Drosophila melanogaster: one gene and its partners. The main gene of each other region encodes a partner of the protein of the gene in region 2 in a complex. Each region holds a gene or a part of one and is shown on either strand. Other genes may lie near its edges. The genes, in order: eIF3c, eIF3f2, eIF3b and eIF3j.

Evidence for each region.
Region 1: eIF3f2 (region 2) and eIF3c share a complex: the UniProt entries of both Drosophila melanogaster proteins name them as parts of the eukaryotic translation initiation factor 3 (eIF-3) complex.
Region 3: eIF3f2 (region 2) and eIF3b share a complex: the UniProt entries of both Drosophila melanogaster proteins name them as parts of the eukaryotic translation initiation factor 3 (eIF-3) complex.
Region 4: eIF3f2 (region 2) and eIF3j share a complex: the UniProt entries of both Drosophila melanogaster proteins name them as parts of the eukaryotic translation initiation factor 3 (eIF-3) complex.

The regions. Positions count from the first base shown.
Region 1 is NT_033778.4:17,664,042-17,669,788, forward strand, and holds eIF3c (eukaryotic translation initiation factor 3 subunit c), read left to right. Parts: upstream 1-1,636; 5' UTR 1,637-1,775; intron 1,776-1,990; 5' UTR 1,991-2,025; coding exon 2,026-2,118; intron 2,119-2,180; coding exon 2,181-4,820; 3' UTR 4,821-4,944; exon of another isoform or gene 4,945-4,990; 3' UTR 4,991-5,234; downstream 5,235-5,747. Other genes in the region: CG30108 (uncharacterized protein), read left to right, coding at 5,445-5,591, 5,646-5,747. UniProt on the Drosophila melanogaster protein: Component of the eukaryotic translation initiation factor 3 (eIF-3) complex, which is involved in protein synthesis of a specialized repertoire of mRNAs and, together with other initiation factors, stimulates binding of mRNA and methionyl-tRNAi to the 40S ribosome.
Region 2 is NT_033778.4:6,199,339-6,202,501, forward strand, and holds eIF3f2 (eukaryotic translation initiation factor 3 subunit f2), read left to right. Parts: upstream 1-1,514; 5' UTR 1,515-1,578; coding exon 1,579-1,683; intron 1,684-1,739; coding exon 1,740-2,495; 3' UTR 2,496-2,618; downstream 2,619-3,163. UniProt on the Drosophila melanogaster protein: Component of the eukaryotic translation initiation factor 3 (eIF-3) complex, which is involved in protein synthesis of a specialized repertoire of mRNAs and, together with other initiation factors, stimulates binding of mRNA and methionyl-tRNAi to the 40S ribosome.
Region 3 is NT_033778.4:17,534,466-17,539,614, reverse strand, and holds eIF3b (eukaryotic translation initiation factor 3 subunit b), read right to left. Parts: upstream 3,403-5,149; 5' UTR 3,286-3,402; intron 3,283-3,285; exon of another isoform or gene 3,161-3,282; 5' UTR 3,151-3,160; coding exon 3,036-3,150; intron 2,920-3,035; coding exon 2,604-2,919; intron 2,546-2,603; coding exon 993-2,545; intron 922-992; coding exon 833-921; 3' UTR 552-832; downstream 1-551. Other genes in the region: Cc2d2a (Coiled-coil and C2 domain containing 2A), read right to left, coding at 1-293; patronin, read left to right, coding at 4,760-4,789. UniProt on the Drosophila melanogaster protein: RNA-binding component of the eukaryotic translation initiation factor 3 (eIF-3) complex, which is involved in protein synthesis of a specialized repertoire of mRNAs and, together with other initiation factors, stimulates binding of mRNA and methionyl-tRNAi to the 40S ribosome.
Region 4 is NT_033778.4:9,967,286-9,971,412, forward strand, and holds eIF3j (eukaryotic translation initiation factor 3 subunit j), read left to right. Parts: upstream 1-1,643; 5' UTR 1,644-1,934; coding exon 1,935-1,950; intron 1,951-2,175; coding exon 2,176-2,267; intron 2,268-2,455; coding exon 2,456-2,569; intron 2,570-2,633; coding exon 2,634-2,922; intron 2,923-2,986; coding exon 2,987-3,123; intron 3,124-3,188; coding exon 3,189-3,251; 3' UTR 3,252-3,612; downstream 3,613-4,127. Other genes in the region: CG12133 (uncharacterized protein), read left to right, coding at 1-527, 592-1,066; CG12134 (uncharacterized protein), read left to right, coding at 4,109-4,127. UniProt on the Drosophila melanogaster protein: Component of the eukaryotic translation initiation factor 3 (eIF-3) complex, which is involved in protein synthesis of a specialized repertoire of mRNAs and, together with other initiation factors, stimulates binding of mRNA and methionyl-tRNAi to the 40S ribosome.

The DNA of each region.
Region 1 (5,747 bases), about 11 Mb from region 2:
TAAATATAAAGCCATTTTTTCTGTGTAATGGATGATGACGAATTGAATGAAAAAGAAGTGCATCGGTTTTATCAATAAAAACTAAATTAAAATGGAGGCAGGAACGTGGGAGTAGTTATTAGGAATTATTCATTGAAATTGCGTAACTCAACATTTGTATTCAATCAACAGGAAATCTATGCTCGAGCAAGGGCAGAAATCGCATTTAAATGGAAATTTCTATAGTCTGTTTCGAGCATCGGTTTTGAAAATATCCAACCCATATATAGGATTTATGGGGCCGCACAAGCCGTAACAATCCAACGGAAAACGGAAGCAAAATAAACAGCACAAAAGCGTAACGGAAACAGAAACAGAACCCCAGGAAAAAGGGGCCCGTTTTTGCCGATTTGGATGTATGTAAATGCATATAAGCTTTTGCACCCACACACAATTTACGATTGCAGCTGCAGTTTCGGAGGAGTCAAGGAGCAGAAACCCGTACTATTTCACGGACCCTTTACGGATTCAAATGTCGATAGGCGGACAGGGAATTTATGGAGCTCTCATCAATTTCTCCGGATAATAAAGCCGCCATATGCACTCTCGAATGTCAGCTGTCGAAAAGCCAGGAAAAGGGCGATTACGCGAGATTAACCGATCAATTTTTAATTTGCCATTTCCGAGACCGCAGATACACACATCTCCATCAATCTGCAGTTATTATTTATTATGCTTACATTTGCGTTAAAGTGTTTTCCGTGTTACTCGTGTTTTCAAGCGATTCCGGGCGTCGCATCTCATTTAGGATGCCACTTAAACAGGATGTGGATGGGCAGAGCACATGCCACGCACACACCGCACACTTGGGCCAAATTTTGTTTACACCGCCAAGACACAACACAACACACAAGAATTCAAATGAATGAATTTATTGAATTCTTTTTAGCGGGCCGCAAAAGCACTTGAGACTCTATCGCCGGATATTGGCATCAACGCTGCCAAATCGCCGAGTACATCCGAAAAATTGAGTTTTTGAACTTGAACTGTCCGTCGGCGCGGAGGAGAGAACGCATGCGACTTGTTGGCGCGCGCGAAAACGTTTGGCTTGGTTTTGCTTTGGCCTTTCCTTGGCTGCCTGGCTGCATGTTGGCCGGACCAATTGATCCGGAGATTGGTTGGGGCGCCAGAATGGGAACCCCACTCTGTTTGGCTAAGAAATGCCGGCACTTTTGCACGCAAGCGCAGCAACATGTTGCTGGCAACTTCAAATGTTGCAGGTCACCAATGCAACATCTATGTAAGCATTGATCACTGATTATCTTTTTAACATTATTTTGAATAGTTACTTAAATGGCCACTATTTCATTTTGATGATATATTTGCTATGTAATTTAATGGATTTATTTTAAATGTACCGCCCAACCGGTTACTTGATATCGATATATCTCGAGAAGTGCCGGCATTTCGTTATCGATGAGTACGCGCTCGCATTCAGTCAAAACAGTGACTCCCTTAGAGATGGGATAGATTTCGGTAACTGTTGGTCCGCCACATAAAAAAACAAATGTTCTGTTACATTTAAAAAAATGTTTAAAACGCTCTCCTTACGAATATTAGTAGAGAGTAATCATTTCTCAACATGACAGTTATTATTAATACATAAATCAAACGCCCCGCCCCGTGACTTTGAGCAATATATATCGCCAACGAAAACACATGCAACCATCGCCCATCTCTAGTCTCTCTTTTTGATGTCTTGTGCATTCGACATCGTTTAGTTTTGCTGTAAAATAGTAAGTTTATTGTGAAATATCAAACGCCAGGTGGTAGTAAACACTTAAAAAGCAAGGCAGTGAACCGATTTCTGCCAGGGCTTCGAATGAAACAACCAAATGTCATGCGGAAATATTTGGCATACGTTTTTGCAAAACGCCATGTTGGCCGCTCAAACATAACCTCAACAAAGCAAAATCTTATGTGGCCCGAAACTAATAAATTGTGATTCCAGGCGCAGACAAACGGCCGCGTAGAAAGTCAACAAAGATGTCGCGTTTCTTTGCCAACGGGTCCGAATCGGAGTCCGAGTCCAGCGAGGAGGAGATCCAAGCGACCAACTTCAACAAAGCCAGCGCCTTCGTAAGTGCCGCCCAGATGTGAAACTCATCCATTACTAATCTATTCCTTTCCGTGGAAAACAGCAATTCAGCGACGATGAGGAGGAGGTCAAGCGCGTGGTCCGCTCCACGAAGGAGAAGCGTTACGAGAACCTCACCAGCATCATCAAAACCATTCGCAACCACAAGAAAATCAAGGATATTCCCAATACCCTGAGCAGCTTCGAGGATCTGACGCGCGCCTACCAGAAGGCACTGCCGGTCATCTCAAAGGAGGAGAACGGCATTACGCCGCGATTTTACATTCGCTGCCTGGCCGAGCTGGAGGACTTCATCAACGAGGTGTGGGAGGATCGCGAGGGCAGGAAAAACCTTTCCAAGAACAACTCCAAGTCGCTGGGCACTTTGCGCCAGAAGGTACGCAAGTACATCAAGGACTTCGAGGACGATCTGTCGCGTTTCCGTGAAGCACCCGACCAGGAGAGCGAGGCCGAGGACGAGGTGGTTGCCCTGGAGAGCGACGGCGGCGATGCTGGTGATGACAGCGACGCCGGAGTGAAGCCTACAGAAGCGGTTCCGAAAGCTGTGAAGTCCGCGCCGGCAAAGGCTGCGCCCGCCGATGATGACGATTCCGATGACTCCATTGATTGGGACTCGGACTCTGAATCGGAGACCGAGTCCTCTGACGATGAGAACCAGTATCAGAACATGCGCGAGCGATTCTTGAAGCGTACTACCGAAAAGGAGGAAAAGGATGATGACAAGAGGAAGGACAAGCGTAAGGAGCAGAAGACCAAGATCCGCAAGCGCGCCGAGGACGATGAAGATGGCGAGTGGGAGACTGTGGTCAAGGGTCATGTAGTAGAGAAGCCCAAGATGTTCGAAAAGGACGCAGAGATCGATGTTCCCCTAGTGCTGGCCAAGCTGTTGGAAATTATGTCGGCTCGCGGCAAGAAGCGCACCGATCGCCGTCTGCAGATCGATCTGCTTTTCGAGTTGAGGGACATCTCTGATCAGCACAACCTGGGAACCGCCGTCTCCGTGAAGATTCATTTTAACATCATCTCGGCTATCTACGATTACAACCAGAAGATTTCCGAGCCCATGAAGCTAGAACACTGGGCCCTGCTTCTGGAGGTAATGCAGAGCATGATGAAGCTCCTGCTGGCCAACGCCGACATTATTATGAGCGAGAGCGTGGCCGAGGAGCATGAGGAGTACGCTACGTCACCGTTTTATGTGAGGGGATGCCCACTGGCTGCCGTGGAGCGCCTGGATGACGAATTTGTTAAGCTGCTGAAGGAATGCGATCCACACTCCAACGACTACGTGTCCCGGCTGAAGGACGAGGTGAACGTGGTTAAGACTATTGAACTGGTGCTGCAGTATTTCGAGCGCTCTGGCACCAACAACGAGCGCTGTCGCATCTACCTGCGCAAGATCGAACATCTCTACTATAAGTTCGATCCGGAGGTGCTGAAGAAGAAGCGCGGTGAGCTGCCAGCCACTACCTCCACCTCCGTAGACGTGATGGATAAGCTGTGCAAATTCATCTACGCTAAGGACGATACGGATCGTATCCGTACGAGGGCCATCCTGGCGCACATCTACCATCATGCTATGCACGACAACTGGTTCCAGGCCCGTGATTTGGTGCTGATGTCTCATCTGCAGGACAACATTGATGCCGCCGATCCCGCCACCCGCATCCTGTACAACCGTATGATGGCCAATCTGGGTCTGTGTGCCTTCCGCCAGGGCAACGTCAAGGATGCGCATCACTGTCTAGTGGACTTGATGGTCACCGGCAAGCCCAAGGAGCTGCTCGCTCAAGGACTGCTGCCTCAGCGCCAGCACGAGCGATCTGCCGAGCAGGAGAAAATCGAGAAGCAACGCCAGATGCCATTCCATATGCACATCAACCTTGAGTTGCTTGAATGTGTCTACCTGGTGTCCGCTATGCTGCTCGAAATTCCTTACATTGCCGCCCATGAATTCGACGCCCGCCGCCGCATGATCAGTAAGACCTTCTACCAGCAGTTGCGTTCCTCGGAGCGTCAATCACTGGTGGGTCCACCAGAGTCGATGCGTGAGCATGTCGTGGCTGCTGCCAAGGCTATGCGTTGCGGCAACTGGCAGGCGTGTGCCAACTTCATTGTCAACAAGAAGATGAACACGAAAGTGTGGGACCTCTTCTACGAGTCTGATCGCGTGCGCGAGATGCTGACCAAGTTCATTAAGGAAGAATCGCTGCGCACCTACCTGTTCACCTACTCGAACGTCTACACCTCGATCAGCATTCCTTCGCTGGCGCAGATGTACGAGCTGCCCGTGCCGAAAGTGCACTCCATCATCAGTAAGATGATCATCAACGAGGAGCTCATGGCCAGCCTGGACGATCCATCCGAAACCGTGGGTATGCATCGTTCGGAGCCATCGCGTCTTCAGGCCCTGGCCATGCAATTCGTGGACAAGGTCACAAATCTGGTGGACGTCAACGAAAAGGTGTTCGACATGAAGCAGGGCAACTTCTTCCAGCGCGGCAACATGGGCAATCGCGGTGACCGTGGCTACAACCGCAACCAGAACAACCAGGGCGGCAATTGGCTCGGCCAGCGGCGGGATCGCAACAACCGGAACCGTAACCAGCGCGGGCACCACAAGAACAACCAAGATAGGCAGCAGCAGCAACAGCAACAAGTCCAAACGATCGACGAGGAGTAGACGTTGCTGCAACCTCAGCCCATCCTCTCTAGCGAGCGTTAGCTTAAACATCAGCAAAACTTAAACAGATCAAATTTGTAGCACTTCGACTATTAAAATGGAATGGCCATGGACAACACGTTGGGTCACATGCTTTCAGGCCTCCGATTCGGTTTCAGGCTGGGTCGGAGGTCTGTTTTTATCATGTCCATTGCATATTGTTGTAGCCAAGTCACACGAACATTTGTTTCAGCGCTCATTACGTTAAATGATAATACTAATAACTACATTTTGTATGAACCCAAAACCGAAAAAGAAACCTTAAAAACAAGAGACACAAAATCAGTGACTTTTTTTTGCAAATTTTTACCAACAACTAATATTAAATTTATATGTACTAACAAGAGTATTATTTTAGTCGGCTTAACACTTTGGCTTTTGAAAATTTAAGAAAACTAAGAATAACATTTGAATTTCGATGACAAGCTTCGTTTTCTGCAAAACTTCGGATATCGATATGCTCTTTTTTTCTCACATCTCTGAAACCTTTTCTTCAGTAGTACCGTTCGACGTACCTTTGTCACATTTTTTCGGAACTCTATAATAGGCATTATAAATTAAAACCAAAATATACCTAGTAAACAAATGAGCAGCGTTGGCGAGGATTGCAACGAGCTGAAGCAGCAGTACGATGCCTGTTTCAACAGCTGGTTTTCTGAACGCTTCCTAAAAGGTCAAATGGATGACTCAGCGTGTGCTCCGATTTTCCGGGTTTATCAGGAATGCGTCAAGGTGAGCTAATCGGCTCCCTAACCACGTATGGTTTGACCAACCTGTAATCCCCAGCGCGCTATTAAGGAGAAGAAGATCGATTTGCAAGAGATAGATCCGATCTTCGAAACCGGGCTTGAGGAGAATAATGCGAATAGATCTGATGCAAAACAGCAG
Region 2 (3,163 bases):
ACTCTTTAATAATAAGGCTTAACTCGGACTCCAAAGCTGTTAATGGTACTAATTTTTATATTTTCCAAAAAGAATATAAAACTATCGCCTTACTAGGTGTACTTTTTCTTAGCGTTACACTTGTCGCTTTCGGAAATAATTTGGAGGCATCTTGATGGAGGTTCAAGTTCACACTTAATTTGTGATTTGTGCTCACGGTCTGCATTCATTAAATCTCTGCTTATGTTTAACATGGTTGCCATTTAAGGAATTTACATTTTTAGTACTTAATAAATAAATTAACATTCTTATCCAGCCCATTTTGCATTTACATTAACCACATATGATTAATTAAAGCTTATGAAATCCGTATAAAAATTTAAATCAACGATTTTTAAGAATAAACTTAAATTTACGTTTTAGAGTAACATAATTTTAGTGGTGTTGTTAGAATCTGCATGCTTAATGCACTCCCTAGATAAGTTCCCGAGATCTCTACATTCATTTAGATAGGCAGACAGATGCACGGTAGGAGGATTTACTTTACAAGACGGGATACGCTTCCTCCTACCTGACACATCCTTTTCTAGCAATCTATCTAGTTTACCCTTATGCTTTACGACCGACAGGTATAAGATGGAAATTGCCGAGGATTGAATAAAATATTCCGTTATCGAGCTAAAACCGTTTTAAGAAGCGGGAGTTTTACAATCGATTCTTCTTGCTTCAAACAAGACCTGCGTGTAAGATCTACGCCGTAGATGGCCGATTTTTATAATGCAATATGTTGGGCTTATAGCAATATGCATATTTGGTTATTCATCGATGAATTTACTTTGCAGGGAATAGTTTTTAAATTAAAAGTCTTGTACATTTTCTAATAAAATATACACTCGACATAAAAGAAGAATTATCACGAATTTGGGTAACAATATTCATTGACGGCTATATAAATATATTTTTTTAAAATATTAAAAATATATAAATTAGTTCCCATGCAAAATGGCCTCATTGGTTTTGCTATGTAAACGTTTTACCAGTCTGATTTGTTTACCACCTTAACTGAGTTTTTAATATAGGGCGCCAATTGAAATTTGTATGAGTATGAAATTAAAGTCATTATGCCGTATGCGAAATATGGGAGGAGCAAGGAACACTGCCATTGATACTTGGTGAGATTCCCATTTCACAAGGTATTGATACACGAAATACCCATGGCTATCCGTAACAAACTCATGCACGTAAATTAAGAGTCGTTTTAACAGACATTTACTAAATTTTAAACTATATACATATATGGTAAAAAGGCAGAATGTTTTTAATTTTTGTTATTATGTTCTTATAGCATACACAACTGTAAAATAATGTATGATGCTTAATTTAAAATTATTTTAAGCTTGTTTTTTCTGTTTACCATTTCAAAATGTTTCTAAATAGGCAAGTTTCTAAATAGCAAGGCAACGAAATAGGTGAGCACATTTTGGCACGTGCCCTTTTAAGTTATATTTACATTTTACAACACTGGATCGAGGGGAGGCACAAGCGCAGCCAAGTTTGCTTTGCTAAGTTTCTTTTCCAACTTAATTTTTTTTGTAACTCATGATGTCTAGGAATTTTAGCATGCGAGCTAAGGTGTATCTAAAGCCGTTGGTGTTTTTCCAAATTATTGACGCATACGATCGCCGACCAAAAGGTGACAATCAGGTAGGTGTGCGCGCATTCATCTCCTGTCCACTAATCTTGTAATGATCAAACCAAAGGTTATGGGCACTTTGCTGGGTCGCAACAAGGAGGGCCACATCGAGATCACAAACTGTTTTACTGTGCCGCACAAGGAGCATTCGGAGAACAAACGCATTGATCTGGATATGGCATATGCCTCCGAGGTCCTAGAGCTAAATATGTTCGCCTATCCGAACGAGCGTGTGCTGGGCTGGTTCTGCACTGGGAAATCGGTGTCCCGCTCCGCGTCCCTGATCCACGACTATTATGTCAGAGAATGCTGCGAAGGACAGCCACTGCACCTGCTAGTGGATGCAGCCCTGAAGAACCAGCGACTCTCGACCCGACTGTACTGTGCTGTGGAGATGGGAGTGCCTGGTGGCACCAAAGGACTGATGTTCTCATTAGTTCCACTGGAGATTAGCAACGAAAATTCCGATTTGGTGGCTCTGCGTTGCATAGAAAAGCAATCGCAGCAACAGGCAAGCAAGCAAATGGAGCGCTTCGTCCCAGAGTTGGCTCAAGTGGTGGATGCCACTAGGGATATGCAACATCGCCTTGACTTGGTGCTGCGCTACATCAACGATGTCTTGGCCAGGAAGAAAAAACCTGACAACGTAGTCGGGAGATCCCTTTACGCCGCTCTCACTGCCGTGCCGCTTTTGGACTCGGACAAATTTCGCGTCATGTTTAATACTAACTTGAGGGATATGCTCATGGCCATCACTCTTTCCACAATGATAAAAACACAGCTGGAGATCAGCGAGAAACTGTCTTGCATGCAGGATCAGTGAACAATGACAAAAAACTGACTGAATTGACTGAATCAATCACTTAATTGTTATTTTGGGTGCCTTTTGCTATTTACACCACCTAATAAATTGAACTTTCATTAAAAGGAGGATGTAGGTCACACTAAAGCAAGCCTTCGGTAGAAATTATTAAATTAGTATCGGCTCCTGAACTTTGGAGTCTAGAAACATCGCATCCAGCGATTAAGATCATTATAAGCTCGTGCCGAAAACAAATGATTTTCGTTAAGGCTTCCCCCGTTCTACACAGTTGCGTTGCCCGAAAACCTTATAGGCAACGCTTGATCGGCATTCTTTTCCAGCATCCCGATCTTAGTCCCTTTGGTAAGTGATTTTCAGAGAAAGCGAGTCATTTCGCCAACTCCTTTGGCCGTTTAAGCACCAAAAAGTTTGCGGTAAATACAACAACAGTGCTGGGAAACCCGCGGCGGAATGATGATCTCTACGGACGGTGATAAGGTCCAGTACAGATCTATTTCGGTCTGTTCAAATCTCGACGAAGAGGGCACGGCGGAGGATGGTAGTGGAAAGGTGGTGGGGGTGTCGGGGATGTGGACCACCCAAATAATGCCGAGATAATAACGCCTTATCGCGGTTCAGGGACAGTCGGCGGATGTCCACCGGGGCAATCAATTAGCTGGAACGAACTG
Region 3 (5,149 bases), about 11 Mb from region 2:
TGTATAAATGTCTGGGAGGGCGAATCCGTTGGTTCCTCAGCCAGTTCCCCACCCGAATCTTCGTCACTCTCCTGGCAATCTTCAACAGCGAAATCGTTCTCCTGCTGCATCTCACCCTCAAATCCATGAAAGAACTGCAGGCTAAGTGCCTCCATGTCGTGTTCTGGACCAGAGATTCTGCCTTCCGTTGCCCTTATCAACTTTTGCACCTCCTGCTCCCTTTTCCGATACCCTCTGGTGGTATGGGTCTTGCGTTTCTTCTTTGCAGTCTTCCTGGATAGAGCGGCTTCCATGTTACATAGGTTATTACAAACGGAAAATGCCAGGCAAACAATATTCCGCCTGCTTTGACCTTTCAACTGGTTGCCATGGGCAACTGACTTGACCACTGTTACACACCTGCTCACCACCAGCTATCTATCGTCTATCGCCTTGAATGAAACATCAAAAAAACATACCCCAAACGTATTTTGTTTTCGTTTTCTTTTTGCTGTTTACATACAAATACATGGCAAATCTACTATTAGGCATACTGGAAGGAGGAGGGGTGTGCGCAAGAAAGGTCATTTAATTAGATGTTATGTTCGCAATTGCTGATTGAGTTGAAGTTTACTTTTGGGCTTATAATTCGTATGTTCGTATGTTGTATGTATAGGCAAAGGTTCCGCTTAGAGTTGTTTGCAAGCAGACGCGTGCTACTGTATTGGATAATGGATTAGGGCCCTGGCATCAACCAGGGCGTAGACGCGTCCCGGACACGAAATGTGAGGCGACAGGATCGCTTCGAAGTAGGCAGGGGACGACAGCGTTGGAGTGGCGTTGAGGGGGTCGTCTACTCCAGCAGAGTGACTTCTTCCTTGACTAAAAATTCAACAATTTCTTCATCCACTTCGTCAGTTTCCAGGTTGTCTGTGTCCACATCTGTTGCGTAAGGATAATATACATATAGAAATCGGCAAATTTTAAACAATTTGTTTCTTGAGAATACTTACGCCCTCGCAGCATGATGCGACGACTCTTCTGCTCCGCCCACTCGGCAATACGCTTGTTGCGGTACTCCATAAAGGTCTCGCGCAGCTGCGAGCGCTTCTCGAGCAGCTCCTTGGAGGCACGGGTAAGGCGCAGGCGATCCTTTTGTTCGAAGGCAGCGTAGTACTTCTTCAAGTTCTTCTTGATCTCCTTCTGCTTCTCCTCGCTAAGCAGGGTGGGAGGACGCGGGCGCCACAAGAACTGCACAAAGTTCTTAAGAATGGTACGCTTGATGATGCGGCCCTGGAACGTGTACATGTTGAAGCCGGTATCCTCTTTCACCTTCCATGACGAGACACCAGTCACAACGTAGCGTCCAGTGGGATCCCACTCGACCTCGGAAGCGCGGAAATGATCGGGCGATGCCGTGATGATGTAATCGTTGGTGGAGTCCACAAACTCGAAGGTACCCATGGTGAGGTTGGCCATTACGATAAACTGACCGCGTGGCGACCAGAACAGATGTGTGCATGACTTCTTTTCTAGACGCTTCACCAAGCTGGGCTTAACGCCCTTGTTCACCTCGTAGAAGCTCACATTCGACGAGTTGGTCTCGCCGTGAATGATGGAGAACTTGTTGCCGACGGGCTCCCAGGCAAAGGCCAAAATAAGCTCACGAATCTCCACAGAGTCGACGGGAATCTCCTTCTCGCGCATGTGGAAGATCTCAAAGTTGTAGAACATGCCCAGAAACTTGACGTCCAGGTCCTTCTTATCCTTCTTCAACTTTGAGTAACGATCTACCTTAACGCACAGATAGTCGCCGGACTTTTGCCAATGTAACTTGCAATCGGCCACATGGAAAAGGTTCTTGTTACGGATCTCACGCTTCTTGGGGATCTCCATCAGGGTAACGCGGGCGGGTATTTGGTTCTGCTCCTCCACCCAGTAGGCAATCACGTTGTCTGTGGGGGACCAAGAGAAGCCACGAATGCCGGGAATCTTAATGGACTTCAGGTCCAGAAGATAGAAAGAGGGTGTCTCGTAGATGTGGATCGAATTCTCGCCCATGCGGGCCACAAACTTGTCGTCGTGCGACCAGCGGAACATAGAAAGAACCGACATGCCATCGGCAACAAACGAACGTTTCTCGGCTCCAGTGCGAATGTCCCAGATGATGATCTTTTGGCCCGTGGGTGTCGGTCCGTAAGTCACTAGGTAATTCTCGCAGGGCGAAAACTCAACGAATTGGGTACCAGGATGGGGAAACTTCTGAATCTTCTGGAAGCTACTGCCACCCCAGATGGCCACACCGGGTTTGTGGAAGGTGACTACATAAGTACCCAGGGGCGACCACTTGACGAAGGTGTCGGTGAAGCGTTCGCGAGTCTCCAGCTCAAAGGGTTCGGGCAATACGTTTTGCCAGAAACCAACCTGCACGCAGTTGGGAGCGGTCTCCGCTGCCACGCAGTACTGGTCATAAGTGTCCGGGTCATTGATGAAGTTGTATAGATCGCTCTGCACTTTGAAGGTCTGCACGGTTGGCGGCTCCCACTTCTCGGGGATGTTTTCGTACCTGCCAAGATTAAATTTTATTAATCTCATTGCTTGATGCGGATGCAAGGAGAACTTACTTTTGGAAATCGGTGAAGAGATTGACGGCAAAGGTGTGGTTTTTGTCTAGGCGATGATTGTTGAGCTTCTTGACGGCTTCCTCCGCCTGTCTGGCCTGCTTGTACTCCATGAAGGCGTAGCCCTTGGTCTTGCCCTCCTCGTCGACGGGATAGACCACATTGACGATTTCTCCGTAGTTCGAAAACAGCTTGTTGATGACCAACTTCAGCTTCTCCAGGCGCACCGGCTCCACCTTTGGGATATTGTCCACTACCACCACACTCTCGACGCCATCGGCCTCCGAGGGGCGCTGGGCCAACATGTCGCCCAGCAGATCTGAAAGTGCATCACGAATATATTTAATTAGATATGCAAATGCAAACTTTCGCACACCGCACACGGATTGAGGTTAGATCGCCGCGTGTGATGCGCTGGCAGTCGGTGATTTTCACCTTCATCACTAATGTTGTCCACGAACCCGGGCGGATCGTCAAAGTTCGGCTCCTCCTGGTAATCACTGTCGTTCGCATCCGTACCGGAGTGCTCCTCGCTTTTCTTCTTGGCCATATTCAGCGATCTATTTGCAATTTTCCGTCATTAAACACACAAGCACAAAGTGAAAAAGGAAGAGCGAGATGCCGCATTTGCCAGTCAAGGCGAAACACTGTTTTGTGTGAATGGTTAGTGTTGCCAACTACTCACTGCGTTGATAACGCGGCGGGGTAACTTTTATTAATATTTATAAATACATATGTACATGCATATATTTTAATTTACTGTTTCTTAGATTTATTTGTATTTATACTGCATATGTTTGCTTGACAGCAATGACAATAATATCTGGATCCTTCTCTTATGGATCCTTAACAACAGAATCTTAGGTGCTTATCTGGTGATAATGTGTTAAAACGGCTAAATATTATCATTTTGTATTTCATGTACATACAATTATTTAATATTAGTCAATATGTATTAAGCAAAGTATAACCTATAACAACTAGTTTAATCGTTCTTTAATAATACATACATTTTTTCCGCTTGCAACTCTAGCGATGGAAGTTTTGAAGCATGTTCAACCGATTTTTTAGAATTAGGCATCAATCGATTTGTTGCCGATAAGCCAAAACCGATTGCATCGAGTAATCATCGGCTGGGGTTCCATCTCTCACATGAAAATTTGTAAGATTTTAGAGCAGATCGGTGTCCGTGATTTTCTCAATTTAAGCCCAATTTGTAGTATTAAAGCTGTTGAAAAATGCAGCGGGGACGAGCGCGAACCGTGTGAAATGCATGCGAAAGTCGTCGGTGCAGCAAATCAGTGCGAAAAACATCCCAAATGTGCGTAGGCCCCACACTCACTCTCGCACACACACCCGCGCGCACATACACAGCTTTTTCGGTCACCACTCGTTCGCTGTGGGTGCGAGCAGTACCACACTAGCAGTGTCGCACACCAGCACTGCCAGTGCAGCGGGAGCGACAGAGAGGCAAACAGCGGGCGGCGGACAACAACAGTGCGAGGCGAAGGAAAATGTTTTCATTTACTTAAGTCGGCGGTTCCCCAAAGAAAATTGGAAACTTGCTGGCTTAAAACGGATTGGGAAAACATTAATTATACCATGGACGGGCGGTTGAACACTGCGATGGGTTGAAAAGTGCGTAAATGGCTTGTCCAGACGAGCAAATCGCAACAGCTGATGCAGCAGCATCTCGAGAAAAGCGAACAGGCAACTGTAAAGTGTTCTCTGTTATTGTCGCACTGCAGCCCCGCCCCCGCCCACCACCCACCGTCGCGCTCCGTGAATGATTCACATTTTCTTTCGGCTGCCCGCCTGCCTTTTAAGCTTTTTCCCTGCCCCGCCCGCCGAAAAAAATTCGCTGACAATGCGTGTGCGCAATTAGTTATTTTTCTCGATTTCCAAGTGGTTTGACAAAGTGCCAATCGTGTTTTTGTATTTTCTTGTGTTTAGGCTCCAAGTGAAAATCACCTAAGCTGAGGAAAACTCCAAGCCACACTCACACACACACGCACTCGCTCGCACGCAGAAAAGAGACAAGTGAAAAAGGAAAAGCGGTGTGTTGTGGTCAAACATAGAGTGCGAAAAGTGCAAAAAGTGCGGAAAGTGAAGTGGCGGGCGTCGGAGAGCCGGAGTCCGTCGCAGGAAAATCCGTCAGCATGGATGTCGAAACACAGGAAATACGACAGGTAAGCGCAGCAAGAGGGCTTCCCGTGTACAAAGTTACACATAAAATAAACTCATATTTGAGCTAAAAACAAAAAGCACTCATTAACATTCCAACGGAGGCGAAGCGGGCCTAAACACCTACTCTCTTGGCCAAAATGGTGCGCTGAGGTAATGCCGCTCGGCAACTTAGCGCTTAGTATGCGACCGACACCTACTTACCAATCGACTGGTTTCGATGGCCAATGCAAACAACTACAACCGGTAGTTGTGTGGGGTGTGCTTGTGCTGATCGGAATATAATGCCAGCAGCCAACATCCATTCATAAAACTGCAGCTGAAAAATCGAAGCCGGAAAATACGCTTTACCCCTGCAAGATTAG
Region 4 (4,127 bases), 3.8 Mb from region 2:
AACATGACAAACGATCAAAAATCACAGTACCGGAACAAACTATGCAACATTAATCCTTTTGCCCACGAGCTAGTGCACATGGTTTTTACCTGCTGCCCGATGGTTGCAGGGGATAAACTACCAGATAGCAGGGTCTGCGGACAGAGTCCTCCTTCGTCATATATCGTAGGCGGCATGGAGGCACAGTCCAACCAGTTTCCCTGGACAGTCCTGCTGGGTTACGAAGCCTACACAGCAAAGCAGCGACCGTCTCCCATGTGTGCGGGCTCCTTGATCGCCAGTCGCTATGTGCTGACGGCAGCCCATTGTTTGAATGTGAATGACTTCTACGTGGCACGTGTGCGCCTGGGCGAGCATGACACCGAGAACGATCCCGACTACACCTGGCTGCCGAATGGAGCCAAGATATGGGCTCCAGCGCACGTGGACATCGATGTGGATCTGAGGGTTCCGCACGAGCAGTACTACACGAGAAATGGAAGACACTACAACGACATTGCTCTGTTGCGTCTGAAGAGTCGGGTGAAGTAAGTAGTGTGCTCTTTGGGGTTCCCTCTTTTCACATTTTCCCATCGATGTCCTCTCTTTCAGATACACTCTTCAGATCAGACCCATTTGCATTTGGCCTGGCATTGAATTGTCAACTTCCTCCTTCAAAAACTTCCCTTTTCAAATTGCCGGCTGGGGCGATTCGGGTCTGCAGCAAAAAAGCACCGTACTTCGCCAAGGCACCATCAGTGGAATGAGTCCGGATGAATGCTTGAATCGGTATCCAACACTGCTCGTCGATAAGGACATCCAGATATGTGCCATGGGATGGGATGGCACCGACACCGGACTGGGAGATTCCGGTAGCCCGCTGATGGCTTCGGTGGGCAGGGGTGCTGATCAATTTTATTACCTAGCCGGAATAACGTCCTACGGAGGGGGACCCTCCAGTTACGGATATGGGCCAGCGGTTTACACGAAAACTTCCTCATATTATGAGTGGATAAAGAAGAAAATCAATGATATCGCTGAAGATGAACGTAAAATGAAATACAAATCTGTAAGAATACCAATTTAATTTAACGTTATTAAAATGATACTTTTTATGCATGCAGAAATGGATGTTGTTCTTTGTTAACAAAATCGCCAAAACAGTCAAGTAAAGAAAGTACACAATTATCTTTAAAACCGTTCTTGGGACAAAAAGCCACATTTAACATGATTATGTTAAAAACAGATGTAACCATTGAGAATTGCAGACGTTTGACATAATTCACATTTTGCAAACAAATCCAGATCTTAACTAGACCAATTCTAACTCCAATAAGGATGACTTAGCCTCTCAATCGAAAGAATTCCTCGACTATAAGATAGCCTTAGTCAGCAATTGGGGAGTTCGAGGTATATAACGACACAGCTAGTTCTTCTTATCAAGAACATGCTTATGTATGTATATACTCTCTACTATATATAATTTATCGAGTCGAATCAATTTTCCTTATAACTCTAAGAGTAAGTTTCTTAGAACACCACGAAGAGGGAGATTTATCACGAATTTTTTTTGAAAAAAACTTGTAGGGTAACTCAAATCTTTAAAAACTTAAAGATTTCTTAACAAAGTTGACAAATTTGTGTTTGAAAATAAAATAAGCAATCTTACAATCAAGAAAGGAAAAAAATGAAAAATGAAATATTGTAGGGTAACAAATTTCAAATTGTCGATAACTTGATATCACCTTGGCCGCACTACGAATATTCGATGGCAACAGACTATCGGCGACGTTACCCACGCATTTTCCGCTAGTCGCGCCTTGGGCACACTACAGATCCACAGAAATTTGGTTTTGGAAAATTCCTGAAATCGCTGCCGAGGCTGGAAACAAGTCGATCCCAGCACCATCCCATCCAGAAGCACAAATCCCGCAAGCAAATAGGCAACCATTAACATGGCCGACGATTGGGGTAAGTTGCGATTGGCCTGGGCGGAAGAGTGGGCGGTGCGTCATCTGCACGGCGGACAATAAACGTGGTCTCCGTCGTTGTTGTTGTTGTTGCTGCTGCTATTGCTGTTGTTGTTGGAGTGCCGTGCAACCAGCCTTGATGAGTATTTTTAGCCACTGTGCCAACTAACCGTTTGAAATCATTGTTATTCACCATGTTCCTGGAACTCATTCTGTTACCTGGCAGAATCCGCAGCAGACAGCGAGGTGGTCATCCGGCCGACTGCCGCCGCCAGCGTAAACAAGTGGGAGGGCGAGGACGAGGATGAGGACATCAAGGTGCGACTAACGAAATCCAAGTGAGATCGAAAGCAGTGCCGCATTCAAACCAACTATCCAAGTGCCCAACAACAAATGCCATGGGCCAAAACTTGTTTTTCTGCACTCGGTTTCACTTTCGTTTCGCTGTACACGTGTGCACTTTTGCAGCAGACTGATCGAATCATTTGTTTATTTGCTGCCCACAGGACAGCTGGGAGGATGAGGAGGAAAAAAAGGACGAGGAGAAGCCTACGAAAACAGAAGCACCAGCCAAACCGAAGCCAAATAAGGCGCTAAAAGCCAAACTGGAACAGCAGGCGGTGAGATAAGGCTCAAAAGCATTTCTCAATCATTGGCTATATTGTTATCATCTGTTATTAACAGCTCCTAGAGGAGGAAGCGGAGGCAAAACGTTTGGCCAACCTATCGCCTGCAGAAAAGTTGGCTGAGAAGCTGCGATTGCAAAAAATCCAGGAGGCCTCTGATCTCAAGCATGCCCAGGAAGCGTTCGGTGTGACGAGTACGTGCGGAGGTCTTGACGCCTTCAACCCCGAGACCAAGGAGGAGTTCAAGGAATTTGGCGCAACGCTCAGCTGGAAGGTGGGCCAATTCCGCGAGTCGGAGCACTTCCCCCAATTTGTTGAGGATCTGGTGCGCAGCCTATGCGTGAATCGTGAGTGATTAGCTGGCTGACAATTAAAGACGGCTTATCTGATTTGATTTCGCACCTTATCTAGTGAGCGCTGCTGACATCAAAAAGGTCAAGATGAACGTGGAAATCTTGCACTCGGAAAAGCTGAAGCTGGAAAAGGCCAATGCTAAAAAGCCCGCTGGAAAGGGCAAGGGCAAGGTCACTCTCCGCACCGAAAACGACGTGAGTGTTTCAATCGCCGCCGTTCGAGATCAACGAATGAACTTATTTAATCCGCTCTTTTGCAGGACATTGACGGTTACCAAAAGTACGGAAATGACTTCACCGAAGACTATGACGACTTCATGTGAATAGGATCTATAAATGTAGCCCGCATATATCTAATTATTGAATGCATAGTTGCTTGTTGAAGAGTTCTTCTTGTTAGAGATGCTGCGCAGGAATAAGAGTCCTTTGTTAAATATAAAATGGCAGAACCTATATAAATATGTAAATATATATTTATATAACCATACATAACACAAAACGAGTTACATAGTCAAGTCAGGCAATCAAGAAACCTCAACGAACACGCAAATCCAACTCCAAACCGAAAGAATATTTAGGCAACTGACTTATGGCGACAGCACATGTATGTAGGTCGTATTCGGAACGGCTTCTTGTGAAATTCATTTTTGTATAAAGAATAAAACTACAGATCGATATTAAACGAAAACAAAGAAATCTTGCTTATTGTGCTGTATGGGTGGGTGTGTGGTACGGGTGTACAAGTATGATGGTGGAACTGTTGATGATTGACAATTGAGTTAATTATAGGTAGCCGCTTTTATCTTACCATTACCATGAACTTTTCAAAGGAACCATAATTTTTAATTTATTTAAAACGATCACAATGCGCGCCGTAATTTGAAGGCGCTTCACTGTGAACGGCTTTGTTTGCATAGCCAAGAAGAAGCATCGCAAGGTGTGGTGTGTGACTTGGCTTCAAAATCATATTATTGAAGTAGTTAAAAATAAATTCAGTTGTCGAATAAGTGGATTTCGTCATAAAAGAAAGAGTGCTGACGCATTTGAAGTGCACTCTTATCCCTTTCAACTCGTCTATTAAGTATTCAATGTGTCTTCAGCCCAAGTTAGCTTAAATCTAGCTGAATAGTCAGCACTGTCGTCATTTAATGCACGTGCGGCAAATTAAAAATAGACAAGAATGAGCGACTTTAACAAAT